Kluyveromyces lactis: one gene and its partner. The protein of the gene in region 2 interacts with the protein of the main gene of each other region in a pairwise test. Links are inferred from orthologs where the notes say so. Each region holds a gene or a part of one and is shown on either strand. Other genes may lie near its edges.

The links.
Region 1: the proteins of ULA1 (region 2) and UBA3 interact in binary tests that used the Saccharomyces cerevisiae proteins (3 or more experiments, as listed by UniProt). The link is inferred for Kluyveromyces lactis from reciprocal best matches to the Saccharomyces cerevisiae genes ULA1 and UBA3.

Annotation. Positions count from the first base shown.
Region 1 is NC_006038.1:830,711-833,954, forward strand, and holds UBA3 (NEDD8-activating protein UBA3), read right to left. Parts: upstream 1,568-3,244; coding exon 626-1,567; downstream 1-625. Other genes in the region: ISA2 (Isa2p), read right to left, coding at 1-410; SND3 (Snd3p), read right to left, coding at 1,873-2,445. UniProt on the Saccharomyces cerevisiae protein: Catalytic subunit of the dimeric UBA3-ULA1 E1 enzyme.
Region 2 is NC_006041.1:1,270,205-1,273,821, forward strand, and holds ULA1 (Ula1p), read right to left. Parts: upstream 1,951-3,617; coding exon 514-1,950; downstream 1-513. Other genes in the region: ATP-dependent RNA helicase SPB4, read left to right, coding at 1-487; lipid-binding protein LSP1, read left to right, coding at 2,743-3,617. UniProt on the Saccharomyces cerevisiae protein: Regulatory subunit of the dimeric UBA3-ULA1 E1 enzyme.

The DNA of each region.
Region 1 (3,244 bases), on a different chromosome or scaffold from region 2:
GAATCAGGTAATACATAAACGATATCCTTAACAGTCTCAAAATCATCTTCGTCATTCAGGTCATCGGTTTCTTGTTCCTGGTTACCGATTTTCTTGTCAGATTCCGGTACCAGCTTCAAATTGTACTGAAATCCGTGACATCCACCAGATTCAACCGTCACCCTAAGAATCTCTTTTGAAGCCTTGTATATCTCAGCCAGTCTCTTGGAAGCTCTGTTGGTGATGCTAAAATGCAGATCCGGTACTTCATTAATAATCTTTGCTGGTCTGATCGGAGTATCCAATATCGATGATGGTGATGATGATTGCCAGCGTACTCCCAAGGCAGCTCTAACGGGGACCTGGTTCAGTATCCGGGGTGCAAGCGTCAAAGGAGTCCTAGAATATGGTAATAGTCGTACTGGCCACATGTTGTTTGGCTCACTATTCCTCTCTTGTATGTCTTTACGATATTCATTGTATGTACTTGTGAAGTTGAATCATCGTTTCGCTTATTAAAGAATTTCATTCAAGATAATAAGAGGAATATTGCCTATGAGCCGGGAATATCATTAAAAACAGTATATAATGCTTGGCGAGGGTGTGAAGCGAACTGTATATAGAATCAACCATTATATGTCATGTGCTATGCGAACACGCTGCACACGGTACAACTAGCATCCCTTTCATGCCTGTAAGAGAACATGGTTGCACCAGCTTCTCCATTATACATCGTGAAAGTTGGACATGTCTCAATATCGATTTTATCAGTGAGTAAGTCGATAGCTTGTTTGCAACATTGACCAGCAATGATTGAGTTTGTAGTAGTAACGCTGGGTATAATAGATTTTAGTACGCCCAGAACGTATCTTGTTGTTAGAGTTGAATGGTGTATGTTGAATTCCTCCGCTCTATGTAATGATTTTTCGTACAACCACTGTAGATCATCGGGAGACTCCAAGTCATGAGGTCTGTTAGGAAATTCTCGAGGCCAGAGAATGATGGAAGCGTATTGAATGCAGTGTGCTAGGGTTCTTGGGTTGGATGCAAGTGTACAGAGCGGATAAGTTTCTGTATTTTGCGGCAGCGTGGAAAGAGAACATTCGTAACATGAGGTGAACCCAGGCACTATGAGCTTACAGTTACCCATAAGTCCCTCCGTGGCACCGTCTATGAAAGGTATTACGGTCTTGAAGTTGGATTTGACAGTTACATCGTGTAATTTGAAGTTGATCCAACGTCTTGCCTCGATAGAATCGAGTCCGGATACGATTATATCGAATTGTGAGATGAAGTCATCGTTGAACTGAGTCAAATCTTGATTGTGAGGCACCACATGCACAAAACCTGTAACTCCATTCTTGCAAGGTATTTGCAATCTATTGATAGCTTCTGCAGCTACAGACGCTTTTGGTTTGCCAATATCACGGGTACTGAATAGAAATTGACGGTTCAAATTGGTCAATTCGATGGTATCCATATCGACAATATGTAATTCTGGCAAACCGTACAGCGCCAATGTCTTGACAATCTCACATCCAAGACCACCGGCACCAAGGATCAATATTTTTACATCACTGACATCCATTTTGCTTGGAGGATATTGATCTGGTCGGCTCGATCAGTAACAGTTAAGGGTTGGGTCTGATCTTTATAGAATAATATTCACGTTTCTTTCAAATAAAGTGCGAAGTCTATGTGTACAATTTAACACTTAAACACGAAAGAAACTGAACAAAAGCTACGATAAAACATCCTATTGAGGTATCTTAATAGTTGTATACATACACGCATGTACATTTATATACATATATACGTGTTTATTTATAAGAGAATGGTGAGAGATGGATGAAGAAAACACATGATTGGAAAACGCAACGATGCGCGTCCCGATTATTCAGCTTTGACACCACCGTTACCAGCCTTTTCAGCAGTTTCGATAGATTTCTTGTCAGTCTTTGGTTCACTGGCACCACCGGCACCACCGAACAAAGATGGAGTCTTGAAAGGTCTCTTCAAATCACCAGAAGCTGGTTTTCCGAACAAATGAATTTGAACTTCGTTATGTTCCAAAGCGGACTTGATTGGTGAGATGGTTTGCATGAACAATGGGTTGGTGTATTTCATGTACAAATGCATGAAACCCATCATAGCCAAACCAGTGTAGATGGATTTAATGGCAGAATCAATCTGTTGTAAATCGTAATCACGAACGGTAGTGACTTCCAATTTTTTCTCGGTTTGACCACCCAATGGGTTAGCTGGAGCCACGTATTTCAAAGTGGCCAAATCGTTCTTCTTAACGATTTGAGCTCTAGCGTATTGGTAGATGGACCAAGTGATGGCAACAGAAGCGACATAAGCGATACGGATGTACAACACGATCGAAGGATCCTCCATATCCAAACGACGAGATACTTGCATCATGATCAACATGATGACTAGGTTACTGATTTGAGCATTCATGGTGGTGGTTAGAGAGTTACAGCTGGGATTGGCTTGGTAAGAAAGAGCACTTCTCTTCTAACTATGAATTGCTTATCGACGGCAGATTCCAGTGGACAAAGGACAACTAACTAACTAATTATTAGAAAAGGCATACATAAATCAGTAAGTATATAAAGTTGAAAAAGAGTAGTTCCGATAATACGTGCAACAAGTAGTAGTGCATCATTTAATAGATACGTATGTGAAAAGATGGTATACAGATTTTATTTTAAATTCCAGTCTGAATGTGGAAGAAGTGACGAGAAAATCTTTTGACGATGAGAGAGATACCCATTGTGTTACCCGGAATAACGTTGAACGGTGGCGAAAATACAAATATAGCAAATATACATATATCCGGGTAACATAAGCGGGCGCGTTATAACAGTAATCACGTGACTAGAAGAGCCACACTTTTTTGACAGCATACACCGAGCGTAGAGAAAGAAAGAGTTAGCTGCGCTAAGTTGTTACCCGCACCTCGGAACAAACCGGATCGGGCTATGTCTGTGAATGTTCCTTTCCCCTGTAGCAACATTCTCTCGTATTTCTTTTTGTGAACTTTGGTCCTTCTTTGATTCTTCCTCCGCCATTTCGTTGGGTACCTCTCTGTTCCAACTTGGTGCCGGAAAAAAAGAAAATCCAAAACGAAAGGTTTTTCCGGGTATTTTGCCCAGAAACCGGTGCACAGTCTCTTCGATATTTCCCCCCGTTTCTTTTCCTTCAACACCAGACTCGCACCTCGATCATAATTCACTCCTGAACACATTTACTCTCT
Region 2 (3,617 bases):
CTCAAAGCATACTGCATCATCGATCTTCAGATTCCACTCCATGGATTTCATCGGCGTTGCGAACTTTTACGGGTTGTTACGTCTGCCACGTATGCCCGAAATAACCAGGTATGCTGCCGACCAAATTCCGGAGGAAGGTTGGTTGGTATCACCACCAGTGAATTTAGACACATTTGCTTACTTAGATAAACAAAAGGAGAAGGCGAGGTTACAAGAATTACAAAACCTCAAGCAAATAAGCGATAAAAAGAAACTGAAAAGTGAGCTAAAGAAGAAGAACATGGCATGGTCCGATAAGACACTAACTAAAGAAGCCAAAGCTGAAAGAAGAGCAGCTATGGCCATCAAGAGGAAGGCAATTGAAGAGAAACTTCTGCGGGGCGATGAGGAATCAGAAGATGAAGTTGAGCAAGACTGGAAAGACCTTGTAAGACAAAACAAGAAAAAGAAGCATAACTCCATGCAAGGAAGTTTCGATGATTTATAGTCAATTACATATCGTAGATAAATCTATTATAATATAAATGTGCTTGTTTCATTCGAGTCCCCGTCATATAACAATGTGTTTTCAACCGGTACATATTGATGTGTCAATAATTTCACGCATTCTTGTGATACCATTGCACCAAGAATTGATGCCATCGCAGGGCTGACAAACGTTGTATCATGTCTATCGTTTTGTAGCGATAGCAACTTATTGAACTTCGGTTTTTCACTTATAGTTCTAGTTGCCGATGAGAGGCTACCCATTTTAATTGCATCCAAATGTTTTAAGTTCTCGAGCATTTTATCTATGAGTGGTTCAGGTATCAAACTATAATTCTCCTTTGCTAGAATGCGCATGATTTCTGATTTATCCTTGGCAGCTTTACGTTGATATACTGCTTTCTGCGCGTTGAATAGTTTAGTTGAGGATTCCATATCTGGAATGAATGCGGACACAGGTAAATCGCCTCTCAAATCGTAAAATATTCTGATGCATCGTACAAATTGGTATACCCATCGATTAATTGTAGAATTAGGTTCAGCATGAAAACTATTCAAGATGTTGGTCAAATTGTGAGGAAATGGTCCTGATTGATCGTATAACAGGAATGAGGACCTCTCTGCTTCCACAAAGTTCAAATCATTGGTCAAGGGTCCAGAGAGTATAGAATCGTGAAGTTCGATGAACTCTGCCCTCACTGATTTTCTATTGATAGGAATATTCTTTGACTTTAATGATTTTCCCACATTGTACAGTAGAACGGAATAAGGCAAGGAGGATACCTCTTCCTGTGACATATTTTTTACATCGAATGATTCGTGATATTCTGCTAGTTCAGGCCACATACGATTGAGTCTTAAATCGAAAGTGAAATGTCCATGAGAATCAATGACACAATGAGGTTCACTGCCTATAAGACGAACAAATCCCAAGTTATCGTTGGTGGATGCCATTATCAGAGGAACTGCTGAGAGTTTCATGACACGTTGTAACAACGGACCAGCCGTGCACAAACATATGACAATAGAGAAAGAGTTCCATAACTTATGTTGTGAATCAATTGGAACTGCATTCTCGTTCCAAATATGGAACGTAACATCTGGATTCATACTTTCTAACGCATCAAAACCTAAAATATCCGAGTTTGACTTGTTCACAAAATCTGATCCATTAGACGAGCCAAAAACTACAGTAATCTCATGAATACCCATGAGAGCCAAACTCTTGACACATTCTCGCATCAACAATGTCTGATTATCGTCTACAACGCACACATGAGACTGAGAAAGTAAATCCTGGCCTGAATGGCCCCAGATCATCAACTGTCGATCATAACGGTCATCCAAACCACCATTTATCTGATCAGCCATAACCTGTACCAACGCCCTTGGTCCTTGATCTTTAACACTAGTTCTAATGCAAGAGAGCCCGCCTTGATTGGAATCAAATGACGTATTTATCATGAGATGAGCTTAAAAGTTCAAGCGAATCAGTTGGATTACCAAAGTTCAAGCTAGATCAACTGCATACCGTTACCCGGACGAGTACTTCAGCATTACCCTAAAACTTCATAAGAGACTCTAAAGAGCCAACATAAGGCCGGCAATACACTGTTAGTTCGTCATTTCCTGGCCCTGTTTTTGCTACGGCTATATCATAAACCAACACCACCATCACCAGACAAAGCGGAAGCAGGAAGTACTATAATATCATCCACCTACATACGATTCTTTCCAGTCTCGAATGATAAGCCGAAAAGAAGAGTCGAACAAAAGTTTCTGAAGAAACCAACATAGAGAACCGTGCCCGCAATTTGCAAAGAAGAGAAAAATTGCGTGGCTCATGCCATGTCAATGTCCCTAGAGAAAGTAAGTGTGGGTCATGTTCTGTTTCTCTTTCTCTTTCTATGCATTTTTTTTTTTTATTTGGGAATAACTGAAAAGGGCAATAGGCAGTAAAAAAATAATCAGAGTTTCTTGGCCTGGGACAGAACCTTTTTTGCTATCTACATATAACTTTCCTCTATATAAAGTAATTGATTATCTTTCTACCTGTCTTGTTTTCTGACGGATTAATTTTAGGGGTCTTACGCAGGTATATCAAGTAAACTTCGATACATAGTTTAATCTAGTTGAATCGAAATTTTTTTTGGGCCAATTTACTCTTCTAGTGCTGCTTTTAGATTAAGAAATAGGGGAAACAGAAAATATTCGATATCAAGAAGTTAAATTAAATACCGATACTAGTCTCCAAAAATGCACAGAACTTACTCTTTGAGAAATAAGAAGGCTCCTACAGCTTCAGAGCTCCAAACTCCAGCTCCACCACAATCTACTACCAAGTCTAAGTTTTTTGGTAAGGGTTCTTTTGCCTCCAGTATCAGAAAGAATACTGCTGGTCAGTTCGGCCCATTGTTATCTAGAAAGCTATCCTCTTTAATTAAGACCGAAAAGGGTTACTTGAGAGCTTTAGAAGTTGTTGCTAGTGAACGTCGTGTTGCTGCTAAACAATTGTCTCTATGGGGTTCTGAAAATGACGATGACGTGTCTGACGTGACTGACAAGCTAGGCGTTCTTATCTATGAACTGGCTGAATTGCAAGACCAATTCATTGACAAGTATGACCAATACAGAATTACTTTGAAATCTATCAGAAACATTGAAGCTTCTGTGCAACCATCAAGAGACCGTAAGCAAAAGATTACTGATGAGATTGCTCACTTGAAGTACAAGGACCCTCAATCCACCAAGATCCCAGTTTTGGAGCAAGAATTGGTTCGTGCTGAAGCCGAATCGTTGGTTGCTGAAGCCCAATTGTCTAACATTACCAGAGAAAGATTAAAGGCTGCTTTCAATTATCAATTCGACTCTGTGAGAGAATTAGCTGAGAAATTCGCATTAATCGCTGGTTACGGTAAGGCCTTACTAGAACTATTGGACGATTCTCCAGTGACTCCTGGAGAAGCTAGAGCCGCTTACGATGGTTACGAAGCTTCAAGACAAATCATCATGGATGCCGAATCAGCTTTGGAATCCTGGACCTTGGATGTCGCTGCTATCAAGCCAACTTTGTCCTTCCACCAAACAGTCGATGATGTTTACGTCGATGAAGATGGCGAGGAAGGTGAAGC